Linked DNA regions of Callithrix jacchus. The protein of the gene in region 2 interacts with the protein of the main gene of each other region in a biochemical or structural test. Links are inferred from orthologs where the notes say so. Each region holds a gene or a part of one and is shown on either strand. Other genes may lie near its edges.

Region 1 (4,099 bases), on a different chromosome or scaffold from region 2:
TGACTTCCATGGGGCCTCTGCCTCCCGCCCACCTTAAGCCATGGATGGGAGGGTGTGGTTCCAACGTGTTTCAGCTACTGTGGGTGAGGACAGCTTGGTGCTGGGGAAATCAGCCCAGGATACTGCCTGTCCTTGGTAACAGTGTAAGGGGAAGTGAGGAGTTGACTGCAGTTGCCAAATAGATTTCCTGTTAGTCAAGGGCTCTCCAAAGCCGAGAGGGACCTCAGAGTTCATGAATCCAATGGCTTCACTTTACTGATGGGGAAAATGAGGCCCAGAGAAAGAAAGAAAAGAAACTTTAAATACCTTATCTTGCAGAGGCATTTTAAAAGGTAATTGGAATACAGAAACGTCATTTCGAGTGTCAATGTAGGAGCAAAGGCATAGGAAAGAGGAGCCTAAACTCAGTGATGTTATGTGATCACGCGGCATTTTCACTTGGCAGAGCTGGGGCTGAACTGCAGGGCCCCGGATGCTCCCGCATCCAGTGCAGAGGACGCTGCCCTGGGCCTGCCTGGGGCCTTGCCGAGCCCTGCGGACTAGATGCGGGGATCCATAGAAGCCAAGATAGACGATGGCAAGTGGTGGATAGGAAGCAGACAGGCAATAGACTGATTCTGCATAAGACAGGTATGTTGATAGGCTAGATGATAAAAGGGAGGTGGATTTTATGAGACGACCGACAGACGGACAGAAATGCAGACAGGAAGTTGCTATAGAACCAGAGGATGCTAATCGCAGGGACGGCTAACAACCTTGTTTTGTATTTAGTCAAATCACAAGCACTGACAGGTGACCGACGCTTCCCGTTCAAGATTTGAAAATACCCGAAAACTGACGGAAAGACACGAAGCGAATCAGACTCCGAGAGCCACCCGGGGAAACAACCGGGGGCTCGGAGGGCCTCGGGTGTTGCCGGAAATGGCCGACGACCGCCCTCAGCAGCGCGGCGGGAGGGGGCGTGGCCGGCTCAGCACGCGGAGCAGCTTCGGGTGTTTCCGGAAATTGCCGAAAGCCCTCTTGAAGTGGGCGGGGGAAGACCGGTGGGCGTGGCTGGATGGTTGTGTAAGGGGGCGGAGGGGTAGATACCCGGGGTCGCTTCGTGAATTTCCGTAAACAGAGCCGAAACTTCGTCTTCGGAATCGAGGAGGTGCGCGCGTCCCCGGAGTTTACCTTCTTCGGCTGTTTCCGGAATTCACCCGTAGTCTGTGGCCGGGAGGAGAAGGCGCTCCCCACCTCCCTTTTCTAGCCGCTTCGGATGTTTCCGGCTGCTGCCGGCGGAAAGAGCCGAGGGCCGGCGGTGGTGGCGGCCATGTTGGGAGCAGCAGGTCCGGCGGCGGCTGCCTGTGTGCCGGGCGCGGAGCAGTGCCGCTGAGGGCAGGGGAGGAGCGAGGCAGGCGGCCGGCTGCGGCGGCAGAGAGTAGGCGGAGCGGCGCGGCCCGGCCGAAGGGCGGCACAGCCCAGCCGGGGGTCGGGGGGGTGCGGTCCGGAGCCGCTCGGAGCCGGCGCGGCCTAGCCCGAGCGGCGCATCCCCGGGCTGGCGTGAGCGGCTGCCCGGCCTCCCCGCACCCCCGGCCGGGGCCCATGCGGCGGGTGCTCCTGCTGTGAGAAGCCCCGCCCGGCCGGGCTCCGCGCCTTCCCTTCCCTCCCTTCCTCCAAGCTTCTCGGTTCCCTCCCCCGAGATACCGGCGCCATGTCCAGCGCCCGGACCCCCCTACCCACGCTGAACGAGAGGGACACGGAGCAGGTAAGGAGCCCTGAGGGCTCCCCGAATTCTTTGGCTGGGCCCCTTGCACCTTGCGGAGCCTCCTCCCTCTGCTCTCCTTGTGCCCCTGCTGCCATCCTGCAAGCCTCGGCTGCCCTGTCATCCGGCTCCCGGCTCCGGCCCCGCACATACCGCTTCCGAGTCCTGACCTGGGACCCACCTTGTCCTGACTACAAGCTGTACACTTGTCTTTCTGCCAACCCCCCCGCTCCCCTCACCACCCTCCTGCGCTCTTCCGTGTCACCTCCCCAGCTTCCCTTTCTCTTCCCTTTTTCTCTCAGGGGCCTTTCTGGTCTTCCTCCACCCACGCTTAAAGCAGCCACCCTCCCGCCCCTCGAATAGCAGCACCCGGCGATTTGCCACAGATCTTTGTCCACCTCTCCCTTCGTCTCTCCTGCCTCGCTTCCCCTCCGCCCGCACCGGTTCTGCTAGTCTCTGGTTATCACCCTCAGGGTCCTTGCCCCTGACTGTGCTCTCGATCTTGGCCCCTTGCAATTCCCTCACATTTTCTACCCTGCTTCGTCGTTTTCCAAATTGTGCTCTCCCTCTTGCTTGCAACCCACCAGCTCCACCCTCATCACCTTTCCAAATCCTTCGCCTACTCTTTGCTCATCACTTTCCCTTCTTTTCTCCAGGAGCTCCCTGAATCCTGGCGCTGGCATTTGTCGCTTCCGTGTTTCCCACAGCTGTCATGCGCATAGTTTTCCCACAGGTTGCCTTTGGGGTAACAATCATCACTCCCTTCAGAGTCTTTGGATCCCTCTTGTTCTCTTCCCCACGGGTTTGGCTTTTAAGTCTCTGGGCCTCCTGTTTGTCTCTGTGAGTGTTCTGCCAGCCTTCTCCTGGGCTCTTCCTCCCAACCGAAGGACGCTTGGCCCCACCGCGTTAACACAACCTGTTGCTCAGTCTTTTCCCGGACCTCGCTGCATCACAGTTTTTGCCTTTCTGTCTTTGTGCACTGGAACACAAACCATGATGCCTTTCCGTGTCTTCACTCCCGTGCCTGGCCCTTCTCAGAGTATCTTCCTTGCTTGTTGCCTTCCTGTTTCTCTGCCCTCACCCACCTTCCTTACTGTGCCTTTTAATCAGGGTTGCCCTTCGTCTCCACGTTAGTTTCCTGCCTTCTTCATGTCGTATGTGTCCCCACCATGCTTGGATCCATTCTGTTCCTTTCGGCTAGTCTCTAATTCCCAGGAAGTCCAGGTGTTTTCCGTGCTAGTTTCTTGAGCTACACCTCAGCCTCACGACTTTACACGGTCCCCCCTCATCTTGGCAATCAGTGCTATGGTTTGTCACCCAAGTCTTAGTCTTTCTGGGTCATCTCACTTTGGAGCAGAGAGGCATCCACTTTCCATCCCTCCCCTTCACCGACTCCAGCGTCCTTTGCTGACTGCGCTGTGGAGAGTCCCCTGCCTGTCACACCTTTATTGGTGGAGAACTTTCCTAGGCCGAACAACTTGACTTGAAAAAGGAGCGCTTCTGCCCCAGGGCTGCTGTGCTTTTTGCCTTCTTTCCCCTCATTCTGTCCTTTATGTTTCCCTTTTACTCCCTCCTTTCTTTGTAGCCCAGTAGAGCAGTTGTACTCTTGCATGTGAAGATTCTTCTCTGAAAAATCTTACCTCCTTTCATTTACTGTGTTTTTCTGTTTTGTCACCCCCTGGCTGTCTGCCATCTGGGCAGTTAGGAACTCTGAGTTCCTAACTCAGAGAAGTTCTAGACAAGAGTTTTTCTCTGCAGGGTTGACCCTTCTATTACTTGTGGATTATTTGCTTCTGAGGGTGAAATAGTGGTTGAGAGGGAGGGATGGTTGATTTCCATTTCATCACTGGGTTTGGCAGCTGGTTCTGCATGGGACAGAGGTCTTTGGAGACAGAGGAGCGTGTTCTCTGCCTCACAGTCTTTCTCTCCCTTGCTTGCCAACTGTGTCTTTCTCCTTACTGGGAATCGCTTTCTCTAGGTCCTCTTGAGGTTGCTTATTCCATCCTTTTTCCTCTCACAACCTTTGTTTGAGCAGGTAAACCCTGCTTAACTAGAGAACTTTCCCAGACTGTTGATTGTGAGCTGGTAGGAGGAGGCCAAGTGACTGACTGGCACCCTCAGGCATTTGGGGAGTGGTGATGGAGTGCCTGCTCTTTCAGTGAGGCTGGTTGGGGGGCATCGTGTTCAGCAGAGCAGAGTAGCAGACTGCCTCAATGTGGTTTCTTTGTGCGGGTTACTAAAGGTAAATGTATTATTGCCATGGTGTTTTTCTTGTGATGTGTGTGTTGATTTCCTCTCCTCTTTACATGCCTAGCATACTGCTGAGCATACAGTAGGGAATCCACCGTAGTGCAC
Region 2 (4,019 bases):
AGAAAGCTCTCAATACAGTTGCCAACTTGAAGAAGTGCTTTCCCAAGATAGGCTGGCCACCAAGCCACGATTAGCCTCTTAAGCCATTTTATGAATATTTAATTTATGCCTTGGTGTCTCAGATTCATCAAGGTAAAGTATTCTATCTCTTCTTAGTATATAAAAGAGACGGTCCTAAATTCAGGGGTTCTCTCCTATTGAAATGATCTGTATGAGAGTTCTAATAATACCTGGTCTCTCTCTCAAGCTACACATCAACTAAACAAAACTCTCCCCCAACTTATGCCATCATAAAAAGTAAAATTTGTAAGAGCCACAAAATAAAACAAATATTCCTTTGACTCAGAGTCACCTTGATGGAGAAAAAGAAAAATTATGTGGCGATTCTGAATTGCCTCAAGGTTACTAACTGCAAAGTAATAGTCTTTTCAGAAAGAGACTGAAATATATGCTGTGAGAGCACCCAAAATACATATACAGAAAACCCTGTTAACATGGAATTCTTGAGTCTTTCCTTGGTAACAGATAATGCTGTTAACAGCCATTACCATATGTTATTGAAGGTGAAGTCTACCATTACTTTCAAGCGGGCAAATTTTTTTTAATACAAGCAATTCAGTCCAAAGAACTTTTACAAGGGCTTCTGCAACGTCAAACAGGGACTGGAAGCTAAGAACACACGATGAATAAAACAAAGTTTTGACTTCATAAAGTAAATAACCTCAAGCTTTCTCCACTTCAGTGCGCACTCTGTCTGCATTACTTTCTTTGCCCCTTTACCAGCTATTTCCATCCACCATGGTTTTGTTCGGAGCGCCTGTCGTCGTATTAGAAAAATAGGTTAAAATAGTTCTGTGGATTTTTTTTTTAAACAAGGAGTTGGGGAGGGAGCCAGAGCGAAATTATTTTTTCTATTCCCTTTTGAAAAAAAAAAAAAAAATCACCAGTCTAGCATGCCAAAGCCCACCTAAAATACGATGTGCACAAACACATAAAAAGTCAGTAGGCCTCATGTAAAAGTGGCACTTAAAGAGAGGCAAATCATGTCAGATTATTTCCTATTTTATTCAAAGAAATGACTGCAGCACTGAAACGTTTAAAAAACACTCCTGCATATAATACTGGTATTTCAATTTTAAAAACTTATCTAACTGATCAAAAGATTCGTGCAATGACAAAGCTAAAAATGTTCTCTCTCACTAATAAGGGTGAATCACACCAGCCACCTACTCCACCCAACAATCACCCTTGCTAAGGCTGGACAGTTCAAAACCTGGAAAGCTTGCTCCAAACCAGAAACGAATTCGCTTCAACACTAGTGCACAGCTACGCGACAGCAAAGAAATGTTACTAAACGTTGAAATTTACCAGGACATTGTGTTCTTCAGATAGAGCTGTGCCCTTTTAACATTTACCCAACTCCCCCATCTCTCCTGTTTATAAGGGGTGGGGGGCGCAACAGACATTCTTACTAGAAAAATGAAGTAACTGCTCAGATTTTCGAAGTAAATTTCAATTACCGGGTTTGGGGAAAATCCCTACCACACTGTCTAACAAAAAGGTGCCTGCGCCTTCTTTCAACTGCCTGAAGCGGGTGAACCGACTCAATACATTTAAACGGCTCAGAGATCTCGGGACACAGTCTCCCGGCACAAAAAACTTACAACCGCCTTTCAGCCTCGCAGAGACCTACTTGGATGTTTCCAAATTCCATCGTTTGGTAGCTACCCAGCATCTGGGAAAAGAGATGGACTTGTCCTTGGAAAAGCGGTTTCGGGAGTCTCCAGAACCAGGGAAGCCAGGGCTCGCCTGAAACCCTCCACCTCGGCAGACAGTCCGGCAAGGTCCGGCTCACGTTTCCTTGCTTGCCCGCGAAACTCTCGATGAAAAGCACCCCACAAAAGGCCTCCCCCGCTCCCCGCGCCGAGGACTCACCAGGACCGTGGTGCAGATGGATCTGAGCTCGGACTCCACTTTCTCCCGATAGTCCTTAATCAGCTGCAACTTCTTGTCGGAGGTGTCGGTCTTCTGCTCGATGCTCGAGATGACCCTCCAGGCGGACCTGCGGCCCCCGACCACGTTCTTGTAGGCCACGGAGAGCAGGTTGCGCTCCTCGTTGGACAGCTCGGCGCCCTGCTCGGTCACTGCCTTCATGCAGGTGGCCATGTCGTCGTAGCGCTCGGCCTGCTCGGCCAGCTTGGCCTTCTGGATCAGCTCCGTCTTCTCCATGGCGGGCGCAGGGCCGGGGCCGGGGCGAAGGGTGAGGAGAGCGAGGGCGAGCGCCGACCCGGAGCGGGAGGAGACTCAAGAGCTGCGGAGGGGCGGGGCGGCGAGGCGAGAACAAAAAGCAGGGAGGGAGCGCCGTCAGACAATGCGACCCGCTGCCCGCTTTTGTCTCCTGCACACGCGGCCGCTTGAATTTCCCTCTCCCCAGTCCCAGCCCCCGCCCCCGTCAGGCGCCCGGAGAGGCCGCGGCCCGCGGCAGGAGGAGGCGGGGGCGGCACGGAGGCCCCGCGCGCGGGAAGCCCGAGCCGCGGCCGCTCCCGCCACCCCCGCCCGGCCGGCCCAAGATGGAAGCGACCGTTGGCCCCGCACCTTCCCGCCCAGAGCTGTCCCTGAGGGGAGCGGCGTCGACAGCCCGCCGCTCCCAAGGGCGGCGCCTCAGCCGGGCCCTCAAGCCCAGAGCGGCCGGAGGAGGCCCGCGGCCAACCCAGATGCTCACCTTCACGTCTCCGCGGCCGCGACGCGAGTCCCACCACTTTGATCTGCCTTTGGCTTTAGCCGAGGACCCTCCCGTCTCAGCCTACCCCGGAGCCGAGGGGCGGTCCGCCGCCCAATTACGCGCCGAGCTTGCCCCGAGAGTCCCGCCCCCCGACGCGCCACGGGCCAGTGAGGACCGAGCGCGCGGAAGGGGGCGAGGGGGCGGGGCGGGAGGGAACGCGGAGGCTAGGAGGGTGGGTCGGCGCGGGGAAGTTCGGTTGGCCGGCAGGCTGCGGCTCCGGCCACGGGGTTTCCTCCAATTAGATCCAGGGTAAAAGGACGTCACTGTTGCCATGGTGATGCCGTTACCAACTCCCCTCAGCCTCCCCGCCACCCCGGCACTTCTGGGTGCGGCACGAGACCCAGAGGCGCGCACGACCTCCGAGGCGGCGGCCGCGTCTCCCGCTGCGGATGGTGCATTGCATCTCGCGGGCTCCGGCCGAGGCTGGACTTGGGAGGGTGACATAATCGGCTGTTTGGAGCACAGGGGCCTTTCTTTCCTCCACCTTTCCCTCCGTGACAAAGGTTTGGATCCCAAGACACTAAACCCAGACGTTAACGACGTTGCCACTAGGGTTCCGAATTCAGCAAACCACATCCCCATTAAAGAAGAATTGATTCATGGAGACATTGGCTTCAGTATGGCATTTACATGATACATTCAAGTTTTCAGATGGGCACCTAAAACAAAAAAATTCCCTTATGAAAAGGTATGTCCCAGAAGATCCAGGCGAGTCTCTGCGGTTTTCTTTAAAATGGGGAATGCCAGTAAGCACAATTTGCAGGGAAACACCTATAACTACCCCTCCCCCCCAAAAAAAGCCTGCCCATAACATCTCCCTCCCCAAAAATCAATTTTTATGTTTCTTTCAGGCTTTCCAGGTTATGCGTCTAAATACATAATTTTTCACATCATTGTCGCCTGTGCACACGCTTTTCGTTTCTGGTATTATTTGTGAGAGGACACTTGAAAATCTGAAATCCTCTCCCTGGGTATTGATTTCTGATTTTCTTCTCCTGGGGAACACCCTGCTGAAGTGGGGAAGATTTCCCCAGGCTCCTCCCATTCAGGGTCATCCCTGGCATCTCACTTTCCTTTTAAAGCACTCCTGTCTCTCCTGGCACTTCCCCAGTGCCCTCACTCCATCCAGGTAGGGTGACTGTCCTGCCCTTCTGGTGAGTGGCCTTTGTGCCATCTTAGGATGAGAATTGCCATCTGGGTTCACACTGCTCTGATCCCTATTCCAGCAGGTCTAGGG
Region 3 (4,270 bases), on a different chromosome or scaffold from region 2:
AGAAGGTCAGCGAGTCCCCCCGCCCACGGAGATCCTGAAGGCACCCCATGGTCTGTCTGCTTTCCCAGGCCTCCCTGGTGAGTTCCTGCTAGAACTGGGATTCTCAAAGGCAGGTGCTGACTGCTTGGTGGTAGTCATTCCCTTCAATACTCACGTCTGCTCCGCCATCTGGGGGTCCATAGGGCTGGGGGAGTCCATGCAGAGACCTGAGGGGATGGAGCACCTTGGTTTGAGGGTTGTGGCACTTTCTGTATACTTTCCCCCACTATGTCTCAATAAGAAGAAAAAACCCGTGTCTAGTTTGGACTTTGACACATTAGAAAATGAAACAAAAACCCAACCATGGACCCTGAGGGCTGACACATTATTCCCCAAATAGTACAGGGTTCCACTCCCGGTTTACTATGAGACAGCAGCTTTTCAAAGAAGAGGTTATAGAATAAGAAGGTTCTAAAGACCAACTCTCAGTCCTGAGTGCTTCCCAGGTAGGGCTGTGGTTAACTTTGGTGCCTGGTTTTTTCCATAGGTGAGATCTCATCTCCCATGGAGGGCCCCACCCTCCCACCCACTCAGCCAGTCTGCGTTGGGTGTGGTGAGCCCCACCAGAGGCACGCCTTCCTCCCATCTCTGTGGAGGGTCGGGGAGCGGCTCCTGGGCCCACCAGGTTGTAGGGAGGATGTTAGTTTGATCGGCAGGGAAATCGGGAGGCCCAGGCAGCCCCCGAAAACTCTCCTGGCACTGGCAGACCTCCCCAGCCCCCACTGGGCCTCACCTGCATCAGAAGATTCAGAGGATTCAGACGACAGGGAGGATTCAGACGACAGGGAGGATTCAGATGCCCGTCTTGACAGGGGTAGGCATGTCAGCCGGCCGCGGCTACGGAAGAGTAGGCTCCCTACCTGACTCTCTGGGGTTTCGCTGGGAAGGGAACAGGGACCCAGGAAAGGAGAAAGGTAAATGTGGGGCTCAAGGCTTTGCTGGCCTGAGTTCCCACTCACTCGCTGAGAAAAGAACTGAGCGAAACACTACACCGGGAAAGTGATGGCCCCAAGGGCCGGCCCTCTTCTCAGGTCAAGGCAGGCTCATTCTACAGAGGCCCCAAAGCAGCTTCTCTTTGTTGACTGGTTTAGGACATGTCCTCCTAAACCAGGTGAGCCCAGGGTGTGAGTAAGGCAGCCTGGCTGGAGGCGATCTTAGGGGTTGGTGGTCTAGCAGAGCTGCCCCGGAGGGCCTTCCCCTAAACTGTCAGACCCCCACCTTTCCAGGACCCTTCCTGAAGGATGGAACAAGACCAGGTTCTCCTACTGGGACAACCCAGCTCTCCCCTTGCAGACTTAGGAAGCGCGATCAGTGTATACGTAATTGCCTTAACTCTGAGCACAGAACTAGGGTGGAGGGAGCAGGGGCATGGATGTGTGAGTGCTCCATGGCTCTGCCACACTCAAGTTCCCCCCTCCAGGCTTGGGATTCCCATCCTGAGGCAAAACAGGTGGCTATTTGGGTAGAGATTAGGGAGGCAGCGTGGTGGAGGCACAGTGAGGTAGGAGGGAGTGAGGGGAAAGAAGACTCGGGCAGGCTTGTGCGGACCAAGAGCAGGTCACCTGGAGGGTGTGGGAGGCACAGCCCAGGTCTCACCTCCCATGTCCTGGGCCCCATAAAGGGACAAGAGCGTACCTCTCCACTGCCCAGGACGCCTCCCCCGGACTCCACCTCCTGGATTAGGATACCATGCTCAGTTCTCCAGGAGGCCCAGGACTCCAGTCCGGGCCTCTCACTCCCATATCCAGCCTCCTTGGGGTGTCCTACCTGCCGAGCCCGGCGAGGTCGTGCATGGTCTGGGTGAGGGTGGTGACCGGCGAGGAAACGGCCGCGCGCACTGGGGACCCTAGGAGCCCCTGAGGTCCCAGCAGGAGGCCCGGGAGGTGGCCAGGACGCTGGGCGCCACCGCGCACGCCGGCTGGACTGAGAGCCGAGCCTGGCGCGGGCTCGGGCTGGGGCACCTCCATCGCCCCGGGGCCGGCAGAAGGCTGGTTGGAGGGCCAAGCGCAGGGCCTCCAACAGACGCCGGGACAGCTGGCTGGGCCGAGGGAAGCAGCGGGCGCGGGGTGGCGGGGGGGAAGGAAGGGAGAGAGGGAGAGAGGGAGGGAGGGAGGAAGGGAGGGAGAGCCACAGGACCGGGCGCGAGGGAGAAGAGGGATGCGGGGAGGGTGGGGTGTGAGGGACGCAGGGCTCAGGCACCAGCCTGGAAAGCCTCTAGTTGCAGCTGCCACTTCCACCTCCTTATATATTCGAAAAATAACAGCGGCCGCGCCGCTGGACGCCACCAATGGGGTAGCGGGTTAGAGGAGGGCGGGATCGAGGGCGGGGCCCGCGGGGCTGGAGGCGCGGAGGCTGGATTTCCAGGCTTTGGGTGGGCCAGAGGAATTAGGGTTTATCCCACACCCCCGCACATCACCCTGGGGCGAGGATCCTGGCCTCCTGAAATCCGCCTCTCGCGACATGGTTTGGAATTCCACATTCCAAAGTCGGCAGCAGCGCCCTAGGGTGGCCTCCGCAGGACCCCCTGCAGCTTATCGTCACCTGGGATCACAGCTAGGGACCGGGAGTTTGCTAAACCGGCTCCCGGAAATTTGCTAAACCCAGCTGCGCTGTGCTGTCTGCGTTAGGTATCCCATTTTACAGACCTGGACGTTGAGGTGTGAAGTTCATTAACTCCTTCAAGGTCTCGCGGTTGGCAGGCCGTGGGACAGGATTCGCCCAATGCCTGGGCCTCCGACCCGGCAGCCTCCCCGCCCCCGCGCCTGGCTGCGCTGAGCAGCAACAAAAAGTCATTCGCAGGCAGAGCGCCTAGCGTAGGAGGTGGGAGGGGAGTGGGGCCCCCAAGCGGAACCGACGGGAGCTTTCGGGGTACTCCAGGTTAGATGTTACCCCAACAGATTCAATTTTCGCGGCAGCCCCAGTAGTCCCACTAAACGGTGGGACTAGACATGGCTTTCCGAGGCTGGGGGTCGAGGAGGGTGTCAGCGGCCAGAGAAGCGAGTTAAGTATCACGTCCCTTGATGGTTTGGCTAACTTGGTGCCAATGGCACCATATTATTTAATTGGTGTTTATTTGATGACCAGACCAGAGAGGCTGAATTTATCATTCGTTTAAGCCGAGCATCTTCCAATTATCTAAATGCCTTCCAGCCCCGCCCGTTTTCCAGGCCTCCTGGAACGGGGGGGTCTGAAGGCTGCACCCGAAAACCAGTGGCTAGTAAGCAGCTTTCGCATTTCATTTCGTCTCCCGGGGTTAGAGGTGGCCTCTGGCTGGGTGGGCGGAGGTGCGGGGGGATGGAAAGGCTGAAGTTCAGGAAGGCAGGAGCGCCCCTTCTCGTGCAGTCCCAGCCTCCCGGACCCAAGGCAAATTGGATGGGGGTGGCAAAAGGGAAGGCCTGTAAGATGGGGGGCTGGGTGGGCCAATTCATGTGAAGGGGAAGGGAAGATCCTAGCCCCACCTGAGAAGGGTGGCCAAGGTGGGAACCCTGACCTTTCCTTTTCTCCACATTTTGCTCAGCTCCTGTGCTGTGTTCCAGGTCTCAACTTCTGGTTCATCCTCCCTAGGTCAGGGGTCATGCCCCGGACCTCCAGCCACCACTCCCAGTGAGGACGTGACTACCCTCAGTGCTAGGATGGAAGGGGGAAGTACCCTTGTGAGGCCACCCACCCCCAAAACAAGAAATAAAACCACTCCGAAGTTTGCATTTTCAAGATCAGGTATGCCCCTCATCCCCACCCAGCCAATATACATCTGCACAGGGTGTGTGTGTCAGGGCAGGCATTGTATGTTGAATCCCTTGAAATCCCACAGTCAGGTCACCTCTGGGCCAGGGGGAGGTGGCAAGACCACAGAGGGGTTCTGGGATTTTTATGTTTTGTTGTCGTTGCCTTTTTTTTTTTTTTTTTGAGAAAGAGTCTCTCTCTGTTGCCCAGGCTGGAGTGCAGCTGCAGGATCGAGGCTCACTGTAACCTCCATCTTCCAGGTTCAAGTGATTCGCCTGCCTCAGCCTCCTGAGTAGCTGGGATTACAGGCAGCTGCCACTATGCCCGGCTAATTTTTGTATTTTTAATAGAGACGGGGTTTCATCATGTTGGCGAGGCTGGTCTCGAACTCCTGACCTCAGGTGATCCACCCACCTCAGCCTCACAAAGTGTTGGGATTACAGGCGTGAGCCACCGAGCCTGGCCCACATACATAATTTAAAACATTTGAGTAGCCACATTTAAAACA

What was found.
Region 1: the proteins of YWHAQ (region 2) and MARK2 form a complex in vitro, tested with the Homo sapiens proteins (2 studies listed by BioGRID, with this or other methods). The link is inferred for Callithrix jacchus from reciprocal best matches to the Homo sapiens genes YWHAQ and MARK2.
Region 3: the proteins of YWHAQ (region 2) and CDC25B form a complex in vitro, tested with the Homo sapiens proteins (2 studies listed by BioGRID). The link is inferred for Callithrix jacchus from reciprocal best matches to the Homo sapiens genes YWHAQ and CDC25B.

The regions. Positions count from the first base shown.
Region 1 is NC_133511.1:120,886,265-120,890,363, forward strand, and holds the start of MARK2 (serine/threonine-protein kinase MARK2), read left to right. Parts: upstream 1-1,296; 5' UTR 1,297-1,693; coding exon 1,694-1,747; intron 1,748-4,099. UniProt on the Homo sapiens protein: Serine/threonine-protein kinase. Involved in cell polarity and microtubule dynamics regulation. Phosphorylates CRTC2/TORC2, DCX, HDAC7, KIF13B, MAP2, MAP4 and RAB11FIP2. Phosphorylates the microtubule-associated protein MAPT/TAU.
Region 2 is NC_133515.1:105,348,044-105,352,062, reverse strand, and holds the start of YWHAQ (14-3-3 protein theta), read right to left. Parts: upstream 2,801-4,019; 5' UTR 2,723-2,800; intron 2,312-2,722; 5' UTR 2,230-2,311; coding exon 1,936-2,229; intron 1-1,935. UniProt on the Homo sapiens protein: Adapter protein implicated in the regulation of a large spectrum of both general and specialized signaling pathways. Binds to a large number of partners, usually by recognition of a phosphoserine or phosphothreonine motif.
Region 3 is NC_133506.1:11,323,016-11,327,285, reverse strand, and holds the start of CDC25B (M-phase inducer phosphatase 2), read right to left. Parts: upstream 2,804-4,270; 5' UTR 2,007-2,803; coding exon 1,807-2,006; intron 919-1,806; coding exon 773-918; intron 207-772; coding exon 155-206; intron 1-154. UniProt on the Homo sapiens protein: Tyrosine protein phosphatase which functions as a dosage-dependent inducer of mitotic progression. Directly dephosphorylates CDK1 and stimulates its kinase activity.